Linked DNA regions of Rhinolophus ferrumequinum. The protein of the gene in region 1 interacts with the protein of each later gene in a pairwise test. Links are inferred from orthologs where the notes say so. Each region holds a gene or a part of one and is shown on either strand. Other genes may lie near its edges. The genes, in order: ZGPAT, DVL2, DHX15 and CDCA7L.

Region 1 (8,011 bases):
TTACCCAAAGCGAAAGGAAATATGGAAAGGAAGACATTTGGATGACATTCAGGACATCAAGGGTAATATGACGACAGCTCTGATGGCCATTCCAGAAAGAGAGTTCCAGAATTGCTTTGAAGGGTGGACTAGGCGCTGGTGTTGGTGCACAGCTTCCCAAGGGGAGGACTTCGAAGGTGACCGTAGTGACACTCAGCACTGAGGGATGGAGCGCTTTTCCTAGGAGGAGTCCGCCCTGTAAGCACTGGCCCACAGGACGCTTCCCCTCAGGACTCACCACATCACTGCAGGCCTGTTTACAGTGGTTCCTTCTAGCCAGTACATCATGTCTGGCTATCAAGAAAAAAACTACAAAACATGCTAAAAGGCAAAAAATACAGTATACCAAAACACAAATAATGGAATGCCAAAAGGAGGAGAGAAAGGCGCAGAAAAATGTTTGCAGAATTAAAGAATAATGGCTGAAAAGGTCCCAAATTTGATGAAAGACATGCATCCAAGTAGTATAAACTCAAGAAGATCCACACTAAAACACATTATGATCAAAGTGTTGGAACCCAAAGACAAAGAGAAAATCTGGAAAGCAGCAAAAGAGAAGTTAGTGACTCTTCACTGACCAGGGGTCTCAGTGAGACGAAGAGGATGAAGGAACCCACCCGAAGAGGTTCCCACTTGCCAAGGGTGGGAAAATTTGAGCCTCGGTAAGGATCAGAATCACAATGGATTGAAATTTATCAAATATACTCAAATCCATGGGTCCATATGGATATTAAATATTTTTAGAAAGCTAACTCATCATCTTCTCAGGATGAAAGAGAACCACTTCATTATGTTGGAAACTAAGTAAGTGAAACAGAAAAACCCTGCCTTTTCTGCATGAATTGTATCACTGGGTAGACAAATCGTAGGCGAGGGGAAGCATCTCTTTATAACATTCCAGCTAATGAACAAAAACGAACTCACAGGATGAAAAGGTCTCTATTTTACAATCCCCCCGGAGTCAATGGATGCGGCATGGAGCATCAGTGGCTGCCAAGACGACAAAAGGCAAAGTGGCCAAGTGGTCATCAGGTGCCTCCTGGTGAACGAGCAGCACCTCCAGGCTTGCCGTGAGTGTGATCGAGACCCTGGGCCCAGCCGCCAGCCTGGGGGTACACAAGAGCCTGCTCCACTGCACTGGGTTGTTCACTGATGGCCCAAAGGTCCATCAACGGTGCAACTGTGAGGCCAGGAAAGGCAGGGACAGGGTGTGTGCAGCCACATTCAGACACAGCAGGCACGAACCAGCGTGTCCACACCGCAGTGATAAGCCACAAAGACTCCAGGAGGTGACCATCCTAAAGGGCAGGACAGGGTCATTTCTGGAGGAGGAAGGAGGCTGTGTTAGGTTGTGATGTAAGGAGGGACTCCAAGGGCGCTCGGCAAACTTGTCGTTTTGATCTGAGTGGTGATTACGAGGGTGTTACAACAATTCCCCATACTATACGTTTACTTCCTGTACCCGGTTTTATTTTATAACAAGATAAAAACTAACAGTCTGTGTCCTTACTACATTCAGAAACTGTTCTGAGTTCCGCGCACATACTAGTGCGTTCCACAGTCCGTTTCACAAACCCAAGCAAACGCGTCCAGGAGGACACTGCTGTAAGGACCCACGGGCCTGAGCTCTGTCCCTGTCAGCACTGTGCTGGCCAGAGGAGCACAGAGGGCCAGCCACGACCCTGGTCCTACCGCGAGCCCCATGTCGCCACAGGGGCCCCAGGAGCGAAGGGCTTTACCTGCAGTGCTCCTTGAAGCGGCACTTCCCCTCCAGGTAGAACGGGCAGGTCTTCAGGGCCTTGTGGGTGGGGTACAGGTAGAGGACGCGGACGCCCGCGGAGCCATCGCTGGCCTCTTCTGTGCCCACAATCATGGCATTGTGATACTCCAGGGTGCCCCACGGGCTGTAGTAGGGGGCATTCACTTTCCTGCCACTCAGCTCTTCCTCGTCCTCCTCCTCCTCCCCTTCCTCCTCCTCCTGCCCAGGCTTGCTGGGTTCTGGCCCCGCCTCTGTTTCAGGAACAGTGTCCACTTCTGCCCTGGGGGCTACTGGCACCTCCGTAATGGCCTTCTGGAAAGCCAGGTACTCTGCGCCGTCCTGGGCTGGGTGCTCTCCATCCAGTGAGGCCAGCAGCTTGCTCTTCCTGACGGACACCAGGCTGGCCTCCGTGAGCTCGATCAGTTCCTTCAGGTCGCCTTGCAGCTGGCGCAGGTCCGCCAGCGCGGAGGGATCCAGGCCGGTGCCCAGGGCCAGCTCCACCTGCTGCAGCTGCGTGTCGTAGGTCTGGAGGGCGGTCTGCAGGCTCTCCTCGTCCATCCTGTCGGGAAAGGGCTGACTTCCCTGGGTCCTCGGAGGGGCGGTGCGACAGCAGAGCTGCAGGGAGGAGAGAAACCCGCTGAGCCCCGGGACTGGCCGCCCTCCTTCCCAGGCCACCGCTGAGGGTGCCAGGGAGCCCTGCGCCGACAGCTGCACTCAGGGGACCTCACGACCGCCTGCGGAACCGCGTGCGCTTCTCTGTCCCGTTTTGGGGCGAGAACACAAGCTGGAAGAAGTTATCAGCTCCGAGTGGAAAACTCAGAACCGGACCTTGGCCGCCGGCCCCACGGCCTCAGCTCCCTTTCCGGCCGCCTTGCGCTGTTGCGTTAGGTTTCATCGGATTCTCCGCGTCTCGGCCCCGCGCTTGGGGGTCTCCTCGCGCGCCCCCAACCCCGGGATCCTCTCAGGACGCCGCCTCCCCGCCCCAGCCTCCCGGGCCGCCGGCTTCCGCTGGCCCTGTCACCTCGGGCCCGGGCCCGGTCGCCCAGACCGCGCCCCTCTTCCCAGGCCGGGCACCTCTTCCGCGCAGTCCGGCCGCGCCATAGAGTGCGCGCCGGCCTCCTCGGCTAGAGCGGCCCAGCCCCGGGCTTCCGCCGTCGCAGCCCCCGAGCACTTCCTTCCGAGCGCCGCCGCCGGAAGTGCCTGCCGCGGGGGCCGCCGGGACGGCTCCGCCCCTCTCCTGGCGGCCGGCCGGATCCCATCGGGCGCCGCGCGGGGTCAGCGGGGTCAGGCGCGCGGTAGCTGCGCGGCCCCGGCGAGCACAGGTAGGCCGGGGCAGGGTCGTCGACTCCCGGGCGGGCGGAGCCGGGCCCCGGGCCCTGGGCCCGAGGGCGGGGCGGCCGGTGTGGAGCAGCTAACGGCGGCCGGGTTGCGAGCCCCGAAACCCGGTGTCAGGGCGGGGTGTCGGGCTCCGAGGCCTCGCCGCCGTCTGTCCACGCCACCAGCCGCCTGCCGGGCTGCTCCGGGGCCGCAGCGACCGGCCACCACACGCACACCCGCCTGCAAAAAGCGGAGCGTCCCCGTTAACGCCGGCAGAGGGCCCTGCTGCGTGTTTACCGGGCGCCGGCTGTGTGCCGGGCGGCGCGCCGCCTCCGAGGGGCGTGACCGCCGTGGGAGAAGACTCGGTGGCCCAGGCCGGGCGGGAGCCAGCGTGTCCCTGGTTGCGTCCGGGGGGCGGGCCGAGCGGGCGTGCAGCCTGGAGGGGCGGCCTGGGGGTCCCTGGCTGTGGTCCTGAAGCCGGAGACAGCCGAGGCCTGATCGGCACTCGGGACGCAGAATGCCTCGGGGGGCCGGGAGGGGGCGTGAGGAGACCAGGGAGTGGGTCGGGACCGCCGGTGGCCGGCGTGGGAGGAGTCATGGGCGCGAGTGCGCGGGGCGGAGTGGGCGGGGCTTACCCGGGCCGGAGTGGAGGGGCGGGGCGTGCCCTTGACCGCGGTGCGAAGCCGGCGGGAGGGAGGTGCGGGGAGATGGCTTCCCGACTGACCTCTCGGCGCCCAGGGCAGGATGTACACGCTGCTGTCCGGGCTGTACAAGTACGTGTTCCAGAAGGATGAGTACTGCGTCCTGATCCTGGGTCTGGACAATGCTGGGAAGACGGTAGGCGCTTGCTCCTGCGACCCCGCCCCGGGGGCTTTGGTCCTTTGGTTTTATACCTTTCGCTGCCTGTTCATTGCCCGGACAGAATCCAAACCCGTGGGCCATGGGACCGTCTCCACCAAGTGCTTTAAAAGCAAAACGTTCTGTTCTGTTTTAAAGACGTAGGCCCCGGAAGGGGCATTTGGGAAGCCGACTTGTAAAGCCACACCAGGCCTTACCTGGTGCCTGTCTCGCTCTCTCCTCAGACCTTCTTGGAGCAGTCAAAAACCCGGTTTAACAAGGACTACCGGGGCATGAGTCTCTCCAAAATCACCACCACCGTGGGGCTCAACAGTAAGAAGGCCCCTGAGGGCTGTGGTTTGGGGGCAGGCCCCCGAGGACACTGACACCCACAGGCCTGCAGGCGACCCCAGCCCTGGGTGCAGCCTGTGCTCCCGCTGGCCCGCGGTCAAGAAGCACCCAGGAGAGCTGGGCCACAGCCTCACCCCTGTTCCTCTCTCCCCAGTTGGCACTGTCGACGTGGGGAAGGCTCGCCTCATGTTCTGGGACTTAGGAGGGCAGGAAGAGCTGCAGTCTCTGTGGGACAAGGTGAGACACATGCCACATAGCACCTGCCCTCGGGCCATGTCTCTCCAAACGGCACCTGTGGTCTCTTTCTGCCTTTTCTGACAAGTCCTCAGACCACCTTCCCTTCTGGTCAGCAGCTTCCATCACCCCTTGTTTCCCTGAGGCTTCCCCCTCAATCCTGTCCTGCTTCCCGAGTCACTCCCCTGAGAGTAACGACACACTCAGTTCCTTTGGGCTTAGAGATTTTGTTGCTAATGAACACAGGACGAGACAGAAGAGGGCCGAGAACAGACATGGGGAAGGCACGGCCTGGTGCCAGCTTCACTACCAGGCCTGAGGCTCCCCACTGTCTCCTCTCCGCTCTGGCCTGGGACTGGTCCTCCATGGTGTCCCCTTCCACCTCAGGGGACGATGTCCTCAGAGGCCCACAGCAGCTGCCTTCTCCTCCGACATAAGAGTTTGGCCATTTCTGAGATTCTCCCCACACTAAAGCAGGAGTCGGTCCCCAGCTCAGCCTGTGCCAGGGACTGGGGTCCAGCAGTGAGCAGGACAGACCCAGCTCCTGCCCTTAGGGGCTCTTCCCCAGGGACTGGCCTGGTGGCTTTGGTGCAGCCCAGCGCTGGGGGCACAGACGTGCCCTCCCCAACACTTACTGCCCATGTACTTAGAACTAAGTGTCAAGGTCCTGAATTCTAGACTGATCCCAGCAGCAGGTACCCAGTCACCCTCCCTGGTCCCCCTCCAAAGCGTCCCCTCCTGCTCTGACTTCCAGCCACAAGGGCAGCTTCTGTCCTGTGGCCACAGGGTTTGGCCATTTCAGTTGTTCTGACACCACACCAAGCCAGGGTCTTCTTATCTGATCCCCAGACCCACGTGGGGAGTGAGACACAGCCTGATATTCTGTCACAGGGCAGGGTCTCGAGCTGACGCTGAGATGGAGGGAGAGGTGCAGGGTGCGTGTCAGCTTCTGGAAGGGAGTGGGCAGGGGGAGAGGTCAGCTCAGGTGGCTGGCCCAATGGGGACCCCTGGAAGAGAATTTCTCCCCGTCGGGCCGAGCTGGCCAGGACTCCATATCACCTGGCGGGTCACCATGGTGGGCAGCCCTGGGCAGCTTTGACCTGGTAACGTGGCTCTTTGTGGGTCCTACAGGAGCCAACAAGGGGCTGTCCACTTGGCACAGTGCCCACCACCGGGCAGCAAGGTCCAGTGGATGACCGGTTCCTGTGTGGGCCACAGCCCACCATGTACCACTGGCATTCGTGCCTCTGCTATGGGGAATGGCTCCTCCATGACCCAGAGCCTCCTGAGGGGAAACTGGAAGAGGGGGAGGAAAGAGGCGACTGTGGTTCCCCTTTAACAACCACTGTGCGGTGGCCTGAGCCTTCCTTGTCTGGTGGACCCCTGGCTTCCTGAGGGGCTCCCCAGCCCTGCTACCGATGAGGTCAGTTCTCTCCACCAGGGTGGGGTCTCTGCCAACATACCCAGGAGGCAGGCACAGTTATAACTCGGCGGGTCTCCTGCTGTGCCCCGGTGATGACCACAGCCCAGAGCTGTGGGGATGGTGGCAGAGTCCCTTGTGTGTCACCAGGACAGATGAGAAGTGGGGCTCCTGGTCCCTCCCCAATTCTCAGACTCGGGCCATGTCTTCCCACGAGGGTGACCACCTGGCAGTCTGCCACACAAGGACTTCGGACCCTGTCCCTTCAGGTCACACCCAAGAGACATCCAGAATGTGCCCACCCAGAAGCCAAGCTTAGGCTCTTCCCTCTTCCCACTGGTTTTGTAGGATTCCCCATGTGGCCATGGCTGATGCAGCCATTGGGGTCTGGGGCATGAATGGTATCATGGGGACAGGGTAGCCTGCTTTGTCCCCCGTCCAGCACGTGCTCAGCCCAGATGTGCTGCGCCTGTGACAGGCCGTTACCAGGGCCCAGTCACACGGGGAGTGAAGTCTGCCACCTGAGGGGCTGTGGTGATTTCCACCAGGCTGCAGACCCCACACTGGCCCTTTCTGCACAGACCTCCTACATTGCAGGGCCTAGCAGTTGTCGGGTGTAGCCAGATGGCCAGCCTGCTGCCTGGAGTCCCCATAGAGGAGCTGCAGCCCTCCACAGAAGTCCCTGTGTCCGGGACTTGTGGCCTGCGAAACCCAGGGCCGCCTTCTCCGTAGCAAGTGCAGACATAGCGGCTTGCCTTAGACTGGTGGGGTCACACCCAAGAATGTGCCAGAGCGTCCTCCAGCTTGGTGACCACTGGCTCACCCTGCCCAGCTAGCAGGACCTCTGGCTGTGACGGGCAGGAGAGCCAGGGCAAAGCGGCAGAGATTCTGCTGTCTGCCCCACGTGAGTGCGGACGTTGGCAGTGCTCTGGTGGGGCAGACAGTGGGCTCACCAGCTGCATGGCTGCCCCTCGAGGGCCCCTGCGGTGCCTCCGGCCCTTCCTGCAGACCTCAGGCTCCTGCAGGAACAGCCTGTGGGGGCTCCTGTGATGCCGCTTCTGGCCCCAAGTAAGACCACAGATCTCTGAGCCCGGTGATCTGCCTCGGTCCTTGTCGGGACAGCTGCTGGGAATGTGGCACTGGCCTAAGCCCCTCGGTGGCCTTTGTGGGGCCTGTTGTCCGCAGTGGCATGAGGCTCCACTGGCATACAGTCCCCATTTCCCGGTCTGCATGGGGACCGGCTTGGTCTGGGCTCTGCAGTCCCCAAGCCTCACCTTTCCCCTTGAGCCACCGTCAGGCTGGCGGTCTGTGGTAGGTTTGCAGGAGCAAATGCTGAAGTAGGTTGGGTGCAGTGCCCAGGAAGTGGGCAGGGGAGGTGGCTGCCCATCCATGGCCAGCAAGCCCTGACAGGCCTGGGGGCGCAGCTCCATTCCGCCCTAGCTCTCCACCCCCAGAAAGCCCTCCAGAAGGGTGGCTGAATGCCCAGGGTGCAGCCCCCTTCTTGCCCCTCCCCAGTACTATGCGGAGTGCCATGGTGTCATCTATGTCATCGACTCCACGGACGAGGAGAGACTGTCGGAATCCAAGCAAGCTTTCGGTGAGCACAGCCCGGTGGGCTGGGGGGTGCTCAGGCCATGTGCTGGAGTCGGGCCCATACTAGGTCAGGAGGGCCCTGGCCACAAGGGATAGTGTCCACTCCCCTCCCAGTGCAGGAATGTGGGCCCCTGGGTTGCGATGGGCTGGGCTGGGCTGGGCAGTCGGGTGGACGAAGGGTGCTCACTGCCGCCTCTCCCCCATACCAGAGAAGATGGTCGCAAGTGAGGCTCTGGACGGCGTCCCCATCCTGGTGCTGGCCAACAAGCAGGACGTTGAGGTGAGCCTGCCCATTGCCCGGGGTCTGGGGGCCCGTTGCAGGGGCGGGCCACCCCCCTCAGATACCCCAAGCCACATGAGTGGGGGTACACAGCTCTCCTGAGGCCTCCCCTGCCCTCCACTGGGGTGCAGCACCCTGTCCTTCCCCGTTACCCTCAGCTGCGTGTGGCAGAGCCTAGAGT
Region 2 (7,551 bases), on another chromosome or scaffold:
GACGGAAAGGACTAGAAAAGGAGACAGGGTCTGAGAGAGCCTGGAGAAAAGCACAGAAAAGCAGTAGCAAGCATTAGAGGCTCCAGGAGGAGAAAGAAGGCTAAGGGGCTCCAGCTGGCTCTCTCCAAATAGGTAGGGAAGCAAAGAGCCAGGGCCTCCAACAACTAAACAACAACAGTTGGGCTACAAGGCCAGACAGAAGCTTGGAGGAGCTTAGTGATGCAGGAGGGACTGGGCCCTCAGAGCCAGGGCCCCTTACCCAGGAGACCACCCTTCCATTGAAGCAGGGAAGGCGAGCATTGTCATCTGAAATTTCTTCCTTCACCACCCTGTCGAGAGACAGGATGAAAGTGAGACTGGACTAGCTCCCCCCACTTGCATCCCCAAAGTTTCTCCCAATCTTTATCCAGCTCAAGGATGCTTATGTTCTCCTACCCTGTCCAAGTCCTCTTCTCATACTAAAACACTTTGCTCTTATACCTAAGACATCTCCAAACTCAATTCCCTTTCCTTATTTCTCCTTCTCTCCCCAGCTCATCCTCAGTGGCTCAATGCTGCTCCAAAGATCTCAAGTGTGATTCAAACCTCTCAGTCCAACTTCAAAGTCCATCTCCTAAGGTTACCCCAGGTGCCCAAAATATCTGTCAAATGTGAGGAGCCTTGCTGGCAGCCTCCCCCAAACTTCAACCCTGTTCCTCACACACCTTACCCAAACAAGTCTTTGGTTCTCATCTAAGTCTCTACTCTTATGCTTTTCTTAGTTTTCTCTAACTCGCTTCCAGAGAGCTAAGTGTGCTGTTTTTGCTTAAAAATACCCATTAGACCAAAGAATGGTACTTTCTCACTAGGCTGAGAGCTCCCAAGGGGAGGTGAGGACCAGCTTTCCATTCCCATGCCTCACCTGGCACAAAACTCTGCACCATGCAATCTGGTCTTCCTGACAAACCCCAAAGCCTAGCCCTGGGGCCACCTGTCCCATGGGTTCCTTGTGATGGACTGGACTTGCCTCTTCTTCTCTACCACCACATGAAATCATTAATGCCTATTCTATTCAATACCATGTCTTGGCCACACAGCAAAGTACCCGATGCTTGGTAAATACTATTGAACACTAGTTGACTAAAGGAACATACATATGAACTACAAGGCTCTCTGCCCTGGACAGAAGCTCTCACATATACACATCCTCACCCTCAAATTAGGCCATCCTGTCTAATTAACCCTTTATTTAGCCTGATATGGTTCTAGAAGCCTGGATATATGCTAACTTAATCCCATTTGCTTTCAGTTGTGACAACACAGCCCAGTCACTACCAATCTGTCTCAGCATATGTTGTATTCTTCACAACATAATCCAGTCTCAGCATAGCCCAGCCTGCCAAGTTACTCCATTCTGTATTACTATAACCTAGTTTATGGACTAGTCAGACTCAGTACTGACAATTACCACTAACCAAGACTTAACTGTGTGCCATGCACCTGTACTAAGCATTTTACTCTGATTATCTCTGTTTCACAGATGAGATCAAAGCACAGAAGTTTTAAGAATTGCCCAATTACACTGCTAACAAATAGAAGAACCTTGATTTAAATCCAAGGTAACTCCCAAACCAGTACCACTTTCCCAAGATAAACAATCTTTCTAGACAAAGCCCAGTCTATTCAGCTCTCCTAGAACCCAGGCTACCCCAGCCTAATTCAGCCTGCCTTCAAGAGCTGAGGTTGAGAACCCAGACAGTTCAGTCCCAGAGGCTATAAAACAAAAGGGCTTACTGTGCATCATTTAAAGTCCCAGTTTAGCCCAGAATGTCCCAAATTATACCAGGATAACCCAATCTATTCTAGCACAGCCTAGAATGTCACCACATGGAGCTAGCTATCTGCACTAATATAAACTAGACTATCCCCAAACGGCTGTCTGTACTAGCATAGACCCCAACAGCTCTGTCTATCCTCTCCTGAGTGTCCCAACAAAAATTAGGCCCTAGTACAAACTAAGTTCAACCAATAAAACCCAATAGAGACCAGAATGGCCCAAGTTTCTCCAGGATAGCCTAATCTACTCTAGAACATCCCAATACAGCACTCTCTGCGTTAATACAGACTAGAATGTCCCAAAACAATCCTGGCTGCCCTAGTATAGGCCAGAACGTCCCAAGTTGACTAATATAGCTCAATCTAAGATTCCACAGTATCCCACAATATCCCTGTGTATTACAGGACTGCTCAGAATGTACTCAACTATCAGACAATAGATTAATCTACCTCTGCAGTCTAAAATATCCCAAAATAAACCAGTGCGCCCCACTCTATTACAGTATAGCCTAATCTTCTCTACTCTGGTTTAGTATAGCCCAGTCTGTCCTACAGCTCCGTGAGCCTCAATCTGTGCAAGCATAATAACCTTGTCCGTCCTGGGATATCCAATCTACCCCAGCCTAGTACAATCTGATCCACTATAGCCCAAAAAATCCCAGTATGGACCAGACTAGGCCTGTGCCCTTCAATATTGCCCAATCAACTCCAGCACAGACCCCATCAGCCCCAGTCTAGGCCTCGCGCTCACCCGAAATCCTGATCCATAGACTTGAAAAAGTATTTAGCACCCGCGGGCCGCTGCAGTACGCTTTTAAAATCGCCGAGGGTGATGCGCTCGGCGGGGACGGGGATCTTCACCAGGTAGGGAGTCTCTTCTTCATCCAGGTGGTAAATCACCTTCGTCTCCCCGACACTACCGCCCCCCGCGCCGCTGCCCGCCATGGTCTCGCCCGCGCGCTCTCGGGCTCCGCCGCCCACCCAACAGAGCTAATCTCCCCCGCCGCGCCTGCGCACACCCGCAAACCGACGAGCGAGCGCGGACGGGACCGCCCCAGTGCGAGAGAGATTTAGGAGAAAGGCGGGGGGTCAGCAGGGTGGCGGGCCGCGGGGCGCGACCCAAAGCCGCGTACTCGGCCGCCGCCGTGAACACCTTTCAGTGCCCCGCCCACCTCCATGCCACGTGACCCAAGCCGTCCCACCCCATCCTCGTAGCCGCCACGTGACCTTCTGATCACGTGACAGAACCGGCCCCTCCCAGAGCCCCCGCCACGTGATCGCTGCTTTGGGCAACGGTTTCCTAACCCTCAATGGCCCCGCCCCCAAATGTGTCCCCACCTGCGTCCTCCGAATACCCTGGCTCAACTGGCCTCTGCCCTCACCGGGCAGGCAACCGACTCCCACCCCGCTTAAGACCACTCAAGTGGGGAACTCCAAGCAACCCTCATCCACTGAAGCGTGTGTGGAGAGTCAAGGTGGGGTTGTGAGCTTCCAAAGACGCGGCAAAGCCAACCGAAGCCATAGGGTCGATGGGAGAGGTAGAGAGCCCTGTCCTCCTTCAGCTCGGACTTTCAAGATGGGTTTCAGGCCCTCCTCCAGCCCTCTCCTGCCAGCTTCTCTGAAGTCTCCCTCCCAAGCAGGACAGTCAGTGAGGGCTATAAACACAAAAGAGCCCACTCTGCTTTATTTACAACACGCAGGCTACCTGTACAAACAGCTGGCCAGTATTATTAAAAACAAAAGAAGTGAAAGAACCTTTGTCTTCCTCCCTCCCTCGGCCAGACTCTGGTTGGTACTCCACCTCTGAGTTGCCATGCCCAAAAGCGGAATTCCAAAATTAAAAATACAACCTGTGTAGAATGGGGAGTGAGACAAGATGAGGGAGGGGAGTGCTATATTTACACTAGAGTTTTATAGACAACTGTCCCATTCCATCCCAGTTCCCATCCTGGCCCAGAAAGTGAGGGGTGGCAGGTCCAAGGGACAGAGATTAAGTGTCTAGGGACCAAGGCAGCCTCCCACCCCTACATGTAATGGGTCCGTCCGAGTTATAAAGTCCACAAGGTGGGAAAGGATAGGGAAGGAACTCATGTCCAAGCCAGTCTCCCTTGGGAACTCCTGCCTTGAAGTGGGACAATATCCAAGCTTCAGGGGATAGGCTGAGGACCCTGAGGCTCAGTTCCCAAGTCATGTTGTCATTTGGAAGTTCCAGCCTAGAAATGTCAGGGCTCTCCAGATTTGGGAGGCGGACCCCCTAATCGCCGGGCCTCTGGCCGCAGTTCCTTGCACTTCTGGCAGTAAAAGAAGTCAGGGACATTGGTCTTCTTAATCTTAGCACAGGAAAGGTGGATCCATGTTCCACACAGGCTGCACTCAATCATGGGCCGCCCTGCAAAGGGCTTTCGACAGTAACATGTGATCAGGTCCCATGAGTCATCACCTGGGGAAAAGAAGGTTTGTTTGGTGTTCTGCCTGAGCTCTTGCATCCACAACAGCTCCATACCCATCATCCCAGCTGCCCCTATTCAGCCCCAAACTTCTCACCTGATTCTACCATGATGTCTTCATCCATGACCCGCATCTCACCTTCACTGGAGCTGGCATCTCCATCTTGGCTTGTTTCAGTGCTGCCCACCTCCTTGCTTTCACTGTCAGTGGGAGGGGCTCCTTCAGGGTGCACTGTGGCAGGGGGCCTAGGAGCCTCAGGGGGTGTTGGGAGCACAGGGGCTGGGGCTTCACCCCCTACCATTGCTGCAATCTCTTCCTCCTCTTCCTCTTCTTCCTCCTCCTCCTCCTCTTCAGAGTCTGTATCACTGGGGGGTGCCCGGGGAGGCCCAGGAGGTGGGAGTCGATCCCCCCGCTCTGCTTTTTTCAACTTCCGCTTCTTGCTCTTCTTGATTCGAGACCTCTTTTCCCCATCCCCAGGGGCTGGCCGAGGCCTCCGAAGCACCCCAAAGCCAGCCCCCCCTCCGGGCCCCAACTTTCGGTTCTTTCGGTCCTTCTTTCGAGGAGGCTGGGAGAGATCCCCCTGGGAAAGGGGCACTGGGGTGAGAGCAGCAGGGGGCCGGGACGCATGTGTCAGGGATGTGGGGGACAGTGGAGATGCCATTTTGGGCCCATCTAGATCAAATAGAGAGTCCTTGAGCTTCATCTTCTCAAGCAGTGTAGCACTGTCAGGGGCCTGCAGACGAGAGAAAGTGGACCTTGGAGGTCCTGGCTGAGTGGGACCTGCTTGAGCCGCCCGTCTCTTGGATGACTTTGCTTTCTTAACAAAGGTCTGGATGGTTCGGAGATCTGAGGGGGCAGAGTCCCAGCCATCACTGTCTGCCGCACTCTCACCTCGCAATGGAGAGCTGGAGCCGGAGGCTGGCCAGTCACTTTCCTTAAAAGGCGGACAAGACCATGGTCAGCAGGGGGCCCAGTGTCATCTCAGTTCCTCTATAAACCCAGCTTGAAAACCAGGGACCAATCTACTCCCAAATATCCTGCCAAAATCACCAATTCTCACTGTACTCAGACAATTTATCCCCACCCCAATTCTTATCACCTCTTGAGCACCTCCATGCTACTTCTGCCCTTAAATTCTATCCATCTCTCCAATTCCCACTGCCTTTGTAATGCTGTATCCCCCAACAAGAGACGTATTTCTTTAGTTTCCTTTCTGTGTAGCCTCATTTGTCACCATTTTCAGCTTCCTAAAATTTACCCAAAAGCATCTTCCATTAACACCACCCCAAGACTGTTCACTGCTACTCAATCCATCTATCGCTATTAAGTCCACCTTCACCCCAGATACTAGTTTTCCTACCAGGGTTTCTAACTGCTCTAGTCTTACATATATAATTTCTGGTAGCCTTCTCCTATAAATACAGTCCCATTTGCTCAACAGTCCCTCTCTAGTCCTAGGCCACCACCCTCAAGTCAGTTGACCTCCTGTCCCTACCTCTTTGCTAGGAGGGATGTAACCAGCATAGGCCAAGACAAAACTACAGAATTTGTTGAAATCTTCAATTGTTCTTCGACGTTTCTCTGGTGGCTGAAAGGAAGAAAATATGTATCACATGGAGTTTAAGAGGGGCATTCCCAAAGGGTAGTCCCAGGAGTGAGGAATCTGGAAAAGGTAGGAGGGAGAGGGAGAGAGGAAGGGGACGGTCGGTAATACTAGGCTGCAAGGTAAAGGGAAACTTCACCTGAGTCTCTGGTTTAAGGGTCGGAGGTGGATCTGTGAAAGCAATAAAAGCTGAGTCAAGGCACTAGAAGAGTCTGTATAAAATCCCACCTCTAAACCTTGGAGATGCCAAGCAAATCCCCTGCTCTCCCAAGTCCCTCAGCCGGGCCAGCAGGCCCCCAGCTGTGCTGGAACCGCCCCTGCTCCCCCTCCCGCCCCGTGAGGGGCGGAGCCTGGGCGCGGCGCGCTCTCAGGCCTCGCTATAGCGCTCCCCTTCCCCCCACCGGAGGCCTGGCGCCCCGCCCCCCCTCACGGTTTCTCTAGACTCGTCTACTCCGATCTCTTAGCGCCCCACCCCGCCATACCGCTCCCGGGGCCGAGCCCGGGCTGCCGCCTGACCCTGTCCTTCACATGCGCCCAGGGCCCCGAGTTTCTGCCGGGCCGCGCTCTACTGCCCCGGGCCCTCCGAGACTGCACACGCCGCCCGCCGGCCCCCAGGGTCCAGGATGACCACGCTGAACCGCTCCCCGCCCTCCAGCCCCTTCTACTCGAGCACGAGGCCCGGCGCGCCCCTCACCCCCACCCTAAACACACACAGAATCACACATCCAACGCCAGTTCGCGTCCGGGACATACCCGAGAGCTCTCACCCGGACGCGGCCCCACCTGCCCCCCCCATACCGCGCTCCCCACAATTTCGCCGTCCCTCCGCCCCCATCCGGGGCTTTGGCCCCTCCCCGTCTCGAGCTTCTAGGGCTCCCGGCCGGGCCCCCAGGCCCTCTTCGGAGCTCTCTCCGGACGCCGACCCCCCCCACGGCCCCCGTACTCACCATTAAGTCACTTAGGCTATAGACCCCTAAACTCTAGCCCCCCCCACCAGCTACTCTACTCCTCCACGGCAACCCCCGCTGCTACCGCCGCTCCGCAACTCCCAAGCTCTAAACCTCGCCGATCAACTCCCCCCCACCCCGCAACTCGCCGGTCTTAACCCCCACCCCGCCCCACCGCCCCTACAACTACCCAGCTCTCCTCGCTTCCAGGCTCTCTCCCCACAACTACCCCCCGGTACAGGTTCCTCTACCGCAGACAATACCCAGACACCCTCTTCTCCCACAACTATCTGCCCACCCCTCCAACATTCACCAGGCTATCTCCGGCGGCAACTACCGGGAGCTCCGGCACCACCGCCACAAACTCCCCCACCTCGGCGAACTACCGGGCTCCTCACTCAGTCCTCTTCTACCTCCTCCCTCCTCAACAACTCTCCGGCCCCCAGATCCTCCCAGCCTTCTAGCTTCAGGGCCCCAACCTGCCGGAGGCCCTTTCGGCCCCTAACCCCCAAGCTCCCGGTTTCTAGCTCCCACCCCCCCACACACAGCGTCTAATCTCCAGCTACCCTCAGCCTAGTCTCCCACTCCTCTTTCTCCAAGGTCTCACAACTCGTCGTTCTCCCACCACCAGGGGCAGGCCCCCGACCCCCTCCCCGCGCTCCCTCCGGGGCTCGACCTCCAAGTTTGCCAATTGATTCCTCACCCGCCCCCCGCCGGCTCAGCGTTCCGTGCCGGTCG
Region 3 (7,676 bases), on another chromosome or scaffold:
GGACATTCTTGTGTTCCCCAGGGCAAGTTACTTAACCTCACCTATATCACAGGAATTGTAGTGAAAATGTGCTTATACATATAAAGCACCTAAATAGTTTCGGGAACATAGTTACATACAGTGGTACCTAGGTTTTTGAGCATTTCAGAACTCGGTCGTCCGGAACGGATTACGTTTGAAAACGGAGGTACCACTATATTTTACATGTTATTGTATCAGTGTATTTGTTTTACATTTCCACAATTAACAGGAAAAGTACTTATCAGGAATTAATCAGAAACTAAGACCAAAGTGAAAAATGTTCTATTTTCAAAAAGTTTTTTCCACACTTCAATAAGTAGTTGTCTTCTGCATAATTTAATATAGAAATTTTTGTGGGATGATGGAAAAGGAATACCATCAGTTTGCAACAGAAACCTTCAACTTCTCCACCTGACCCCAAAACTAAAATATACCAGGAGTAAATAAAACTATACATAGTGTGGGAACTTGAAACTGAGTGAAATCTCCCACTAAATTATTTTCCGTTCTCAGTATTGGGGAAATGGTACAGCCATGTTTGGCAATGAAGTTCACAAGACAAGCCTACCCTCTCAAATAAAGCCACTTGCTAACTGTCAAGGCTTAAAAAAACTGCAAAACAGCATGTCTGTGAAAAGAGACTTTCAAGTTATAAAATATGGGGGGGAGCAGGGGGAACCCAAGCACTAAAACGTTGTAAGCTCAGTTAAAGAAAATTAGTTCTGAGAAATGACATTCAGATGACACAGAAATGAGTATATAAATGTCCCCCCAGAATTATCTCAGAACTTGGGCTTTATTACAGGTAGATGTCAGACATAGAAAGTCCACATTTTTTACTAAGGGTATCAGTTTTGCAAGAGAAAGGGAACCCATGGGACCACTAATCCCAAGAAAAGTATTTAAATGTTGCACACCCACAAATATGAATAAATGAATTCATTCCCTCCTAGTGTACTTTGTTTCAATCTGAACTCTTATGAGAGAAGTCAGATGACGTCTTGCATTTTACCCAGATGACAAGCAATTTATCTTTGCTTCACAGGAACCAAGAGTCCCCTACTTTAGTGACCCATAAATGTCATTAAATTAGGTTGTCATGACTCTTAAATACAGTCATAGTCTGTAGTGTAATAGAAAAAGCAAGAAGCTAAGAGTGCAAATGAAAAGATCAAGGTTCTAAATCCAGCTGTGAACTGGGTTAAGGTTGCACAAGCCACCTTAACAACTCTGGGTCTTCCTTTCTCATCCCTTCAGTGGAGCTGATTATACTCTCTTTTAAAGTCACTTGCAACTCTAAACAGTCTGAGGCAAGGAGTTCTAAATGTGCTAAAGTTTTGCTGAGGGTGTGGGGAGGGAGGGAAGAGGAGACAACCTAAAAAGAGAGAAAACTAAAGTCTAACATTGTAAACTAAAAATTTTACAAGATTAAAACATTACCTATTTCTGCTTTCCATATTCACTATATGGGAAGGGATCAAAAAGTACACCCTATCCTGGTTTATACACTCACTAGACAGATACCTGGAAACCAATGCAAATGCACTTTGGGTGAAAAAAAAATTCACAAAAGTTATAAAGATGATTTGGCACCGTGATTCTGAACACGTGCACACAATAAAACGGTAAAAATACCTGAATTATCCGAGTAAAACACTGTACTTCAGGAATGAAAACACACTGGACAAGAAATGATTTTGATGCAATTGCTGAAGTCTATTCATCTGTATCTTTAATGAACGTTAAGGGAAAGGAATCTGAGACACCACCACTCCATTTCAACTCTCAACCTCCCCACGTGCGATATTTTGCCATCAATGCTAAAAATTTTTTTTTGAAAAGGGTCTTCTTGTTGCAAAAACTAGTTATGCAGGAAGGCGGGAGGACAGAAATCAAGAATTTATTGGAAAAGAAATAATGCCTTTTAATTCCTATCCCAGGAATGCCCAATACCCAGTTTTAGCCAAAGCAGGAAATAAAGGAGATGGCGGGAGCATAAGCAGAGAGCGGAAGTTTGCCTAGTATCTACTTTGAAGTCTTTGAATGGACCGAGGCACGCGCTCTCCCGCGAAAGTATAAACTCAGTGGCTCCATACGACCAGCCTTCCTGCCCATCAGGTATATTCCACGTTTTCCTTTCTCCCGGCAGGCCTTCTATTCTCCCTTCCCCCGGCAACTCCTCGTCTGCACGCTTCATTCAACTCCCGCTACCCCCATCCCAGTCAAAAAGAAGAATCCACGCGTTTCTCTCACTTTCCGCCCTCCTCCTTTCCCCTAGGTGGGCACCCACCCGCCCCCAAGGCCCTCTCCGCGGCCCCTCAGCCTGGTAAGTACCTGGTGCCCTTGGAAGCGAATACTCCCGCCGCGCCCTCCCCCATCCCCTCCCCCGGTTCCAGGCCTTACCCGGGAACCCAGGCCACGAGGTCCGCGGTTTCCTCCCGCCCGCTCCCCTCCAAGTGACTCGTTTGGCAGGGTCCGGGGAGGCGCCCTCGTGGCCACGACAGGCCTCTCCACCCTTCCGACTGGGCCCGGCGGCGGCCGCGCAACACCTCTCCCCGCGCCCTTGCCCAGCCGAACCCCGGGAGTGGCGCCGCTCGCTCAACCCGCCAATGAACCCAGCCTAAAGAGAAACAAAAGGCCGGGCTCCAGGCCCCGCTTGGCCAGGCCGGCCTTGGTCCGCTTCCCGCCGGGACCCCAACAAAGCCCGAGCCTCTGCCTCGCGCCCCGGGCCTGGCTTACCCATCGGTCCCCGCACGCTTCTTGCCGGAGTAATCCTCCCCCAGATCCAACCGGTGCCGCTTGGACATCTTCGGACTCTTCGAGCGGGCGGTTATGAAGGAAGAAAAAAAGAAAAACTGGCGGCCTAATCAGCGCAGTCGACAACAGCTACTTAACTCTGGAGGACCCCCACCCCTCCCGCACCACAGCCTACACGGCGCGGCCGGAACCAGGAGCTAAAATGGCGGCGGCGACGAGGGCTGGGCCGGCGTGCGCGCTCCCGCAGCGTGCTGTGCGTGCGTGGTGAGCGCGCACGCATCGGAGGCGGGAACTCCAGATCCGCCCAATTTCCTTCCCGCCGGCCTCCGCTCTCTTCCTGGTACCAGCTTTAGGCCGTTCGAGCGGCTGCTAAGTCGGCTGTCCCCGCGTAGCCTTCACGCCCCTGTCTGATGTGAAGAAATTGAGAGAGGTGAAAGATCAGTTCTAGGTAGGAAATCCTGTCCATTTGTATTGCCCTGGCATTAGGGGAGTCTGAGACCCAGGGAGTTTGAGAAACCCAGATCATATGGCTGATACCGGGCAGAGCCAGGATTGGAACCTATGGTAACTATTTTGTAACTCCAGTTCTAGAACTTGAAGCCACTAACCACTCAGTGTCAGTGAAGAAACTGAAGTGAGAAAAATGTCAAAACTTGCCATAATCCATTTTGCCCTTTTCTCTCTCTCTTTTTTTTTAACCTAGTATGGACTGTATGTTCTCAACCTATTGATGTTTTTTTTTTAATGTGGAATAGAGAAAATTGCTGACAGTAAGGACATAATTAGCTTTTTGTTTTCCTGTGTGCCTGTTATGAACTTGTGGTAACCCTACCTCTACCCTTATTCTTACAGTCACCCTGGCAAGGTAGGTGTCATTTTATAGATGTGGACCCTAAGGCAGAGGGAAGTTAAGAAGTCACACAGCCATTAGTGCTGTCCCTAAAGTCATAGACAATCGTTAAGGTAAGATGACTCTTAGCACTTTAATGGATCTCTCCCCCAGACTATCTGCTTACTCAGTTGCATTCATTCCCAGAAGAAATACATAAAAGAAAGATCTGTGGACCAACCGAAGCTGGGTGATCTATGTAGTTCATGAAATGGATGTTTGGATGCCCTGGAAGACCATAACCAGGTTCTTATCAAATCCTCAGAACTGCAACCGCTAAGGTTAAATACAACCTTAATACTGCAACTGATAAAGAGGGTTTTTATTTTTGTACCTAATCCACATTACAAAATCAGTACAAAGAAAGGCGAATATCTTCATTTATAAAATTTTCTGTACAACTTTTACCCTAAATGTATGTTACCGTGTTTCCCCGAAAAAAAGACCTAACCGGAAAATAAGCCCTAGCATGATTTTTCAGGATGACATCCCCTGAACATAAGCCCTAATGCGTCTTTTGGAGCAAAAATTAATATAAGACCCGGTCTTATTTTAAGGGAAACACGGTAGCAGTATATTGACTTGTCAGGGGTCATGTTGCATAATCACTGAATTGTAAACCTGGAAAAGAGTTTCCAGCTGATTTTCCCTTCTTAGCTCATATTACAAATGAGCCCCTAGGTCATGCCCACGTTCACACAGGCAATTGGTGTCAAAGTCAGAATTAAAATCCAGATTTCACTCTTCACTACTCCAGTCCCAGATATCTAGGTTCCCAGTTTGAGGGCAACTATAAAGTACTCCAAAATTTTGGAGAAAAAAATGAGGGAAAAGGTTAGAATTCCACCTGAAGAAGTGCTCTACCCTTAGAGGCATCAGCCTCTCATAAATGTGCAAGGAGACTTGGTAAAGGAGGAACCGAAGTCAAGATGAAGAGACTTTCTCCTTGGGCTTAGCGTATATCCCTAGAAAACTGTAACCTAACCAATTGTGTTGTAACTGAAGTGGCCATATTTACCAAAGGATAGAGACCCTTCTGGAATCTGTAAGGGGAACAACGGGCCAGAATCTGCCAGGATGTTCACTCTCTCTGAGGAAGGGCAAAGTTCTGGGTCTAAATGATCCATTCTAGATTTTCAGAGCAAATGGTCCCTGGAATAAAGAAGAGCCATCTACCAGCCCCCGTACAGCCTCAGAGCCCAGTTTTTTCCCCTAAGCCTACTTTCATCTTTTTCCTTTCACTGGTGTTGATCCTAAATACTCCTTAATAAACTTCCTGTGCACTAGTCCTTGCTTCGAAGTCTACTTTTCATGGAACCCAACCAAAAAGATTTGGTGCTAGGAATGGCCCAAGAAAGCAGAGTCTATGATTGGATTTTGGACCTGGCCACCCATTGGTGGCCGGCAATGACTTAGTGATGGCAGGTAGAACATAGTTACCACTATGTAGAACATAGTTACCACATAGTTGCCAATTGCAGGGCAATTGTTAAAATTTCACCCCCCGTGGTGTACTGGGAAAGACCATGCACTGTTTTCAAAGTATGGAGGAAATAATAACTATAAGAACATCGGAATTTGATTGACTGTTGCTAAGTGGACTTGATACTTTGGAGAGAGATAATGAAAGGCTGAGAGTAATTAATCTGCAATTCAAAATTAAGTGGGAAAGCTAGAAGACCTTCTGGGAGCAAATAAACAGATTCTCATCTCCTGCAGTGGAAAGACAAAGAAAAATGATGACCAATCCCAGGACTTAAATATAACAGTTTCATAAGGCCAAGTGGAAACTTACAATGAAGATTAAATTCTCCACTTAGACAGGCATGATACGTCAAGGTTAGGGCCCTCATTGAGAAAGGGTGCACCTCTGACACCTGGGAGTGGGATATTTAGGTTGATAGACCTGAAAAATCTTGAATTCCTAAATTCCCTTCAACCTGGTGAGCTTGTCAAAATGCCCTGCTCTTCCCTATTAAAAGCTAATTCTCCTTCCTTGTGAGATGATCAGAAGCCTACTCTCTGAGACATAATATGCACCTCCCTCAAGATATACCCCTACTTACCCTGCTGACCAGTAGGCAAAAATTAGGGTTAAGTCACAACATAGAATATTCCAGGGACATCCTAGGGCTGATAGTATTGGAAAATGACTCCAAAGAAGCTGTAGGATCTAACCATCAGGTACCAGCAGGAGCCAAGAAAGTATGCATGGGATGGAATTCTGAAGGTTCTGGATAAAGAAGGGAGGAGGGAGGTGGAACATAAAGTTAAATAAGGGAAATTTTATCAATCTGGAAGTACTTTTCCAGGATACAGGATTTAACATACACAAGAACTCCAGGCAATGGTGTAAACACACTTAGGATGTCATCTAGAAGCGTGGAAAAAGCAATGCCACAGTCACCAAGAAAGGCAGAAGTGCCAGAACTGCTGTGCATCACAGTGTAAAAGGGGGTTAAATAGCTGAAAGAAGTGAATGTGTTAGAGTGAAAATACTTACACAAAGGTGGAAAACCCAGCAGAGGAATATATTCCACAGGAAAGTTCAGAAGACATACCACTTACTGAATCCATAAAGAATTTTCTGGTGAGGGAGGCATCAACATCATTCAGAAATTCAGTGGTGGTTCTCTCTATAGTTCAGAGATGAAGGTAGAAGATGCCATTTCAGACCTGAGCTCCCTGAGAGTAGTAAAGATGAAAGGGGCCTGTAACAGAAGTAACACGGTGGCATTTCAACATCAGAAGCCAGGTGGATGCTACAAGGTAGTAGAGATGGTAAATAGGACAAGGTATCTAGAGCAAAATAGATGGGCAATCATCAAAGGATGTCCTCAATCTGAACAACCAAAATAAATCAAGAATGGATGATCAAAAGATTGAGGGCAGTTGCCCCAGTGAAAACTTGCCCAGTTTCTAGACTTGCGCCATGTCAAAAACCAAACTCTGCACACTGAGTACAACAAAGCAGAAAGATGAGTTCATTGCAAGGGTTTTGACCTATAAGCTGGGAAACCCAAGGCTACTGGAGCAATGAGTTCTGAGTTGCTCACAGACTAGTAAAAGGTTTTTATGGCGGCAAATGCAGAAGTTATTTGGTTTTTTAGTTGATTGGTTACCCAGTGGTCTCCTGCCTTATTTGGATCAGGTTAGCTGAGTCAGAGGAACATGAAAGTCCAAAGATGCATGAACAGACTTGACAGTGGAAATTGGCTGAAGTCCTCTGCTTATTTCTGAAAAGAACTGTAAATTCCTGCAACTTAGGTAAGGTTAAGTTTTGTTTTTCTTTAATGAACCCACATTAGCCAACTGCATTTTGTCCCCAACATAAGTGACTTAATTTTAGTTTTGGTTCTACGACCAGTTTTGGGACCTGGAGTACATTGATTAAGGTAACTGCCATGTCCCTAGGAGCAAGGACTACAACACGTAACATCACTGTGTGCACAGTAATAATTCTCCAAGTCCTTTCTCCAAGTGATCTATAGCCATTCTTTTAGGTAACCATACACTGGGGGAAAGAGAATATTCAAACATTTCAAGGACAATTGGATACGGAATCTGAACTGACATTGATACTGATAGACTCAAAGTGTCGTTATGGGCTCCCTGTTAGAGTGGGGGCCAATGGGAGTGTCTAACGAAGATCTGGTTCAGGTCCAGCTCATAGTAGTTTCCCTGGGTTCTCAAACCCACCCACTTGTCATGTCCCCAATCTATAAATGTACACTTAGAATAGACACTCTTAGTAGTTGGCACAACCCTCATGTTGAATTCTTGGCCTGCAAGAGGTAAGAACTATCATAGTAGGAAATGCCAAGTAGAAGCTTATGAAACTGTCCCCCTCTCCACTCCAGCCAAGATACTAAATAAAAAACCTGGGGAGGAGTTTCTGCTTATACCTCCAAGCATGTCAAGTTTAGAAATTATCACTTCCATTCTTAGAAGAAAAAGCTGGACAAACTGAAAACTAATGGCTTTTCTTGGAGCCCTTAGAAAACTGAGT
Region 4 (6,828 bases), on another chromosome or scaffold:
AATTGTTTTAAGTCATGTAATTACCTCAGTTTTCTGTCCTGTGTATCTGACCAGGTCAGAATTGCTGTGATTTCTGAGGTTTCTCATGACCACTAAATATTCAGCTCTCCAACGGATGAGACTGTAGTACATCCAAACAATGGCCAACTGGCCTTTTAAATACAGGGCTTGTAAAGTGGCAAATCACTGTGCTGTCCTTCCAAGAGTCACAAATGACCCCCCTCCGTGACCAGCTTTCGGGCTCTGGGCACACATTGTAAGCCCAGGATCAGATGGGTACACACTCTGCAGCTGTGAGGTCAATCCCCAAAACATTCCCCTTTACCCTTTCAACAGCATGTCGCATGCTTATTCATGAGCATTCAGCGTCATTTCCTTCTCTGAGGGGCCAACCTGCATCCTAGAGTCAGAAGGGAGTTAAAGGACAGCACCAACATTCAGGATCTCCCCGTTTCTCTGCGAGGAAGCGGAGGCAGTCTCATCCCCCAGCTCTTACGAGCTGCACTGCTGAGAAATCTCAGGAAGGGACCAGGTCCTTGCCTTTACTGGGTATTTTTCCTGTCATTCAGCACGAAAGCACGAAGACACAGTGGTCGCCCAAGGACTACAGCCCAAGGCAGATCAATGTCAAAAGACATCAAATCCAACACACTGGTGAAGTTTCAAAAAACAGGCTAGAAAGGTGTGGAGGGTTCAGATGAATGTCTCCTGGTCTCCTCCCTGCCTATTTCCCTCCTAACGTCATAACTCATAACATCAGGCCTAAGCTGCTTTGCTGGAACCCCTTCCAGCTCTGCACTTTGCAAGGAATGGAAATTGTATTTACTGAATGTGTGAGATTAAAACCCACTGCACACTGCGCTGAGCCTTATTCAGTGTGCACTAATGCTTTATTCATTAGGCTGGGCCACAGGGTAGAACCACACGAATTTAAGATCTTGCTGTGTCTGAAATGCTCATTAAGTGCTCTTGTCTTGTCTGCAGTCACCTGCCCACCCCACAGAACCACTCTCCACTAATTTAAAGAGACTATAATCAGCTCACATTTAAATTATGAACATTTCCCCTGGAAAAAATCATCACATATCTTAATTTGCGCTGCCAATTAGAAGATCTTTAGGAAAGAAAAAAAAACACCTGATCATCTTACATATAGTAATTTGCCCTAATTGGTGCATAATGGGTTGAATATAATTTGTGGGTTACCCCCACATTGGTAAATAGTTTAACATTTTAGAGCTACCGAAATTTAGCTTCATTACTTGACAGGAAAATGTTCAACTACACATTCTGGGACATTTTGAACTTTCTAAGCATGAACGATGTATAGAAGCGGTGCAAGTGCAGGTCCAGCAGAACAACAGGTTTCAGAAGCAATACATTTTTAAGATACATTTGCTGATGAAATTCACAAGGGGCTCAAAGCTCCTTCCTGAAAGGTTTAAGTCTTAGAGAGACCTGAACTTCCCAGAAGCATAGGATACTAATTATATGGTAAAGGCCAGTGGCAGGAAAAAAATAAATAACCCTGTCTCAGTCCTTCTTAATCCTGAGTGTTTGTTTTCTTTGCTTTTATAATACCTCCCCTCACTGGAGAAATTTAAAAATGATACTCTTTCTTATAAACACCCACATAAGACTTCTCCCAAATGTCCACTTTCAGGAAGCCTTTCAGAAATCACTAAATGGCCAAAGCGACCATTACCGACTCTACCTTTAATCTGCCGCTGGACCCATGCGGGTGACAGCCGCCTGGGCTCAGGCACCACTGGCCACCCGGGCAGCTTTGCGCCGGCCGCTTCTCGTCTCCCAATACCAAGGCTCAGCACCCAGGGGGAGAAAAGAGGTAAACACCAGTCGAAGGAAAAGTGGGAAGCAAGTGAGTCAGAGGCGTTCAGAAAAGGAAGAAAACCCCAACCCTCCATCTCTCGGGCTCCCACAAGCTGCTTCCTTCCCTTTTGGCAAGTTTTTAGTTCCTTTGAAACGTTTATTTAATAATAATAATATGGAAATAATATGTATATTCATTACTAGAAGTAGAGAAAAGCTTTTACAAAGTAAAAAAGAAAACTGAAGCCACGTTCACATTCCCAGCATCCACTGAAACATCTGGGTAACTTATGCTCAAGTGTTTGTTAATGCGATTTTTAAAACCTAGTTAAGATCTTAATGCGTTAATTGCGGTCGTGCTGTGTATACGGTTTGGGATCTTAGGGCTTTTTGTTTTTTTAATTTGGCCTAATGACGTTGCTATCCCCACCCCCACTCCGCCCCAAGTGGTTACAAATTTCTTGGAAAACATTTACAAAAGTTCTAGAACAAATACAAGAGCAATTCCTTTTAAACTCCATTTTCCAAATTGAACTGGTCGGACTCGCAATTCTGTGTGTTTTTTTTTTTTTGTTAAGAAAAATTACACTTTTCTTAAACTTGTGCCAATTCCCGGAGAAAATGGGGGGCGCGCACCGGAAAACATTCCCCACCCCCTGCCCGGTTCCAAGAGCGCAACAAATGCAAGCGCTGCGCCCCGGCTGCCTCCCCGCCTGCACTTCCCTCGAAATGCGTTAATTCCTGGGGCTCGGGGCGGCAGCGACCCGGCCTGCGACCCCTGGGCACCCACCCGGAACGGAGGCCAGTGCGGAGTCGCTCAGACTCTCCAGTCCAGCTGGCAAAACAGTGACCCACTGCGCACACCTGCAGGGCGCGCGGCTCCAGGGTTCGCGGGACTGGGTGCGTCCGATCCACAACGCGGCGGCCAAGGGCCACGTTTCCAGCCCAAGGCGGGGAGGAAGGCCGATAGCAAAGGGAGGCAGGCCGCAGGGGCGTGGGGGCTGCGACGAGCGGCCGGACCCTCACCTGCGAGCGAGTCGCCAACTCCATTCTTCCACCGGGAATCCAGCCTCCTCCTAGCACGCGGCCACGGAAGCCTGGCTTGCCACGGGGCCGGCGCACGGAGAACGCCCGCGGCCGCGCAGCCCGCGCGCTGCGCCGGGAGCTCCGGAGGGCCGGGGGAGGGGCGCACTCGGCGCCCGGGACAGGGGGAGCGCGCGGCGCCGCCCACTTGGTGCCGCTCCGCTAGGCCGCGAGGCTCGGATCACAGACCCAAACTTCATGACCAGGGAACTTCGTTTTGCAGGCGGCGCAAGAGGGGTCTGCAGATGGGCGCAGCCCGAGACGGCTGCCAGTGTGGGGGTGCCGGGCTCCCCCCTGCAGCGGAGGGAGGGAGTGGAGCCGTCCGGCTTGGTTTCGCGCGGGAGAAAGGAGAGGGGGCAGTCCCGGCGCAGCCTCCAGCTGGCACGCCCCGCTACGCGCGCGGGATGTTTGCAGGGTTTATTCCAGGTTATTCCCTGTAGCGCGAGCCTGTGCTGCAATCAGTGTTTCCGAAGTAGGAAAGCATTTTAGGGCTGCTTCAGAGCTCCCCTTGTTTTGTGGTACGGGGCGAGGTTGTGCCGCCTCCCCAAAGTTTTCGCTACCGAGTTCACTTTGCAAAACAGGCAACCCAACCCAAGTTTCTTTACCAAGGCCCAAGGTGGGAAGTTGCAAAACCCCCTGCAACTTTAGACGACCTTTGCTCTGCTATACATTGTACACGGAGGCCTCCAACGCCGCTAGACGGGGAGTTCTTGAGGTCAGGAATGCTGATTAATTTTAACAAATACTGGCTGAGCACCTACTATGTGTTAGGCACTGTTACACCTGGGAACACATGGTTAAACAAAAAACAGGTCCCTGCTGTGTTGGAACTTACAGTCTGGGAGCTAGCCACCTACGCGATGATATAAATGTAATAATTATGCAAACACATGTAATAATTTAATAATTAATTAACAATGAATTCAAATGATGAATTCAAATAATGAATTCAAATGAATTCAAATAATGAATAATGGTGGTAAGTTCAATAATAATGATGCAAATAAATGTAAATTTGGAGCTATGATAGATGCCCTGCCGGAAAAGGTAAGTGGTACTATGGTGATGTAAAACGGGGGATTTAATTTGGCACAGGTCAGGGAAGACCTCCTAGAGTTCAGGTATGAAGAGTGAAGAATTACGCGGGTGGACGCGGGTGGAAATCGGAAGGCTTGAAGTAGGCATTGTGGAGGGTGGTAGATGAAGGTGTCTTGACATCGTAGCAGGTTTGCTGGGCAGTTATTGAAAGCCTATTTAGCCCTGTGGTCATGAGTTCATATAGGAACACTATGCTTGAGCCCTTCTGCAGCCTTTCTTGGCTGCTTGGGAGCTGACTTTGCTGAAGGAGTGGATGAAGTTGGCCAAACATTAACTCAAGCTTGAAGAGATAACATCTGGGAACTGTCCTTCCTTCTTTCATTGGTTCTGCAAATGTGTTATGTGTCCTCTGTGTTCCTGACCCGCATATACAGTGTTTGATTTAAGCAAATGTTTTGTTTTCTTTTTATAATGTAAGCTGTTGATTATAGCCACTTTCGTTTTTACTATGCTTTAGAGTTTTCCTTCACATACAGTTTTTCCTTGAATTCTCCCAATGTTCTTCCAGATTCCTATTACCCCCTTTTTTTTTTTTAGGGATGGCGCAGCTCACAGTGGCCCATGTGGGGATTGAACCCGGTAACCTTGATGCTACCTAGCACCATGCTCTAACCAACTGAGCTAACCAGCCACCCTGCCCATTTCTTAAATGAGGAAACATAATTGAAGAAAATACATAAAGAAAAAGATCCCTGCCACCCTGCTATTAAATGACAGCCGCAGGCTGCCAAACTGGAAACCATTCTTATGCCTCAGATTCAACATTCTCTCCATTATTCTTTACTTTTTCCCTTTGGCTGCCAGGAAACTCGGAGTAAAATTTATTCAATCAGAACTTTCTCTTTTTTTGGTATGATTGCTTCCCCATGAACTAGTGATCTTATTTTCATTTATTTCCTTTCATTGTAGGTTGCATCAAATCCCTTTTGGAAAAGGGACTATAAATTTGAAGTACGTCAGATTTTGCAAAGCCCTTAAAGGAACCTAGTTCTTACGTGGAAACCTGTAAGCTGCTGAGCCTTCCTGCTTTAGAAATATGCTGTAACCAGTCCTAAGTCTTCAGATGGCAACCTGGAAATTGTCTTCCTTTGTCTGGCAAAGCCCATGCACTTGAATGGTATTTAGTAATTGATTCTGTAGTGGTATTTTGTTGTCAGTTTGTGGTTCCCTTCTGTTTAGGGAAATCATAAAGAACCAGGGAATTTTAATATCCTGTGCTAATACTTCCTTCCCATGGTTACTGATGGGATTAATAGCATGTGAGCATTGGATTTCAGAATGGCACTGCACGAGTGACTGCCCCTTCCCACAAGCAAGAGTGTACATAATCGCAACAGAGAAAAAGGAGACGTAATGTTTGCAAAATTTCTTTAAGAAGTCTCTGTCTAGAAATCTATGCTTGCTTGCCTTTTTAAATGTTTCTATGAGAGAATAAAAACTTGGTCCCTAGTGCCTTCAACAAGGTAAGAAATTTGTAATTAGATGCCATCACTTGAGATGCTTTAGATGCCATGAAATAGTTGTACTTGGGATGTCAGGCCTGGCCCACAGTTTTTGATTTGTAAGAGGAGTTCAGATATCTCTCCCCTATTCTGCACTCGCCACAGAGCTCAGCTGTGGGCAAACCCCTTAGTCTACGCTTTATAACAGTGAATTGCACCAGTTTGGTGTTCTGGGTAACCCAGCAAAGAATCCACATGTAACAGTAATATCTGCACACTGCTTTGCATTCTATGCGCTCCTGAATAAACAAAGTGACACTTAAACAAGATAACATCCCTGGTTGTTCTTGATCGACTGGTATTTTGAAACTTCTATCTCATTCTGATTAGATAAGACCTAGCCTAGAAGGGGGAAAGATCCCTAAATTTGAGACACTTAGAGATAACCTTTCCACATTGTTGTGGATTAAAAGATCTAGAATTGAGTCCCTTGTAGCGACACTGTCACCTCAACGACTGGGTGCCTTTTTGGAAAGTTTTCTTTCATCACAAGCTGGTATTCCATCTTCCTGACGAGGCATGCCAACATAATGCTGTCACAGCCTCACAATGTAAGTACCTTCTGATGAAAAGCACTTGAAAGGCTGCGGAGAAAAGAACCTGAACAAGCAATAATCAATGCCTTCATATACTGGGTACAGAAACGTACACATCATAATGAAACCGCAATGCCCATGGCTCTACCAAAACGTCAGTAGCAATAGTGATGTCAGTGAGCCCGGTGCTGAGTTCACCGTTGCGTGCCTTCTCACATTGAATCCTTCAACGGTGACAGTCACCCACCTGCTCCTCAAAAAGAGTGCTGTGAGAATAAATGAAACAATATTTCCAAAGTATTTCGGATTTCTTAGAGATGCTATGTAAACCCCAAATGTGATTAATGCCATCCATATCTCATAGGTTTTTGCAATATGTAGGTATATTAATAATTTACTATTAATAATTATTAATAATTAATAATTGATAATGTATATAAATGAACATAAAAGATGATTATAACTAGGCACTAGTAATAAATGGATGAAAATGAGAACAGATTATTTAATAACTCACCTTTCTAAGAACTTATATCTCATAAAAGGAAATTGTAATGATCCATTTCTAATCAGTGACACCAAAAACAGTACTGTAGTACATAGTTTTTAAAGAACAAAATTTTTTCATAATGAATTATGTAGGTAGCATTTTTTAAAGTAATCTGTAGAATATCAACATAGAATTCACAATATATCCATAAAAAATAACTGATATTACTTCTTAAATGACAGAAAGTCCTAAGACATTTCTTTAGTTTGACAGACAAATGCAGAATATT

Evidence for each region.
Region 2: the proteins of ZGPAT (region 1) and DVL2 interact in a two-hybrid assay, tested with the Homo sapiens proteins (2 studies listed by BioGRID and IntAct). The two-hybrid records come from large-scale screens. The link is inferred for Rhinolophus ferrumequinum from reciprocal best matches to the Homo sapiens genes ZGPAT and DVL2.
Region 3: the proteins of ZGPAT (region 1) and DHX15 interact in binary tests that used the Homo sapiens proteins (3 or more experiments, as listed by UniProt). The two-hybrid records come from large-scale screens. The link is inferred for Rhinolophus ferrumequinum from reciprocal best matches to the Homo sapiens genes ZGPAT and DHX15.
Region 4: the proteins of ZGPAT (region 1) and CDCA7L interact in binary tests that used the Homo sapiens proteins (3 or more experiments, as listed by UniProt). The two-hybrid records come from large-scale screens. The link is inferred for Rhinolophus ferrumequinum from reciprocal best matches to the Homo sapiens genes ZGPAT and CDCA7L.

The regions. Positions count from the first base shown.
Region 1 is NC_046306.1:376,571-384,581, forward strand, and holds the start of ZGPAT (zinc finger CCCH-type with G patch domain-containing protein), read right to left. Parts: upstream 3,003-8,011; 5' UTR 2,900-3,002; coding exon 2,873-2,899; exon of another isoform or gene 2,820-2,872; intron 2,788-2,819; exon of another isoform or gene 2,627-2,787; intron 2,414-2,626; coding exon 1,779-2,413; intron 1-1,778. Other genes in the region: ARFRP1 (ADP-ribosylation factor-related protein 1), read left to right, coding at 3,860-3,952, 4,198-4,285, 4,458-4,540, 7,473-7,554, 7,760-7,830. UniProt on the Homo sapiens protein: Transcription repressor that specifically binds the 5'-GGAG[GA]A[GA]A-3' consensus sequence. Represses transcription by recruiting the chromatin multiprotein complex NuRD to target promoters.
Region 2 is NC_046304.1:11,598,198-11,605,748, reverse strand, and holds the start of DVL2 (segment polarity protein dishevelled homolog DVL-2), read right to left. Parts: upstream 3,004-7,551; 5' UTR 2,761-3,003; coding exon 2,567-2,760; intron 330-2,566; coding exon 260-329; intron 1-259. Other genes in the region: PHF23 (PHD finger protein 23), read right to left, coding at 4,038-4,255, 4,360-5,197, 5,759-5,851, 6,006-6,037.
Region 3 is NC_046288.1:71,716,626-71,724,301, reverse strand, and holds the start of DHX15 (ATP-dependent RNA helicase DHX15), read right to left. Parts: upstream 3,001-7,676; 5' UTR 2,829-3,000; coding exon 2,761-2,828; intron 1-2,760.
Region 4 is NC_046303.1:18,260,505-18,267,332, reverse strand, and holds the start of CDCA7L (cell division cycle-associated 7-like protein), read right to left. Parts: upstream 3,003-6,828; 5' UTR 2,881-3,002; coding exon 2,857-2,880; intron 2,808-2,856; exon of another isoform or gene 2,695-2,807; intron 1-2,694. UniProt on the Homo sapiens protein: Plays a role in transcriptional regulation as a repressor that inhibits monoamine oxidase A (MAOA) activity and gene expression by binding to the promoter.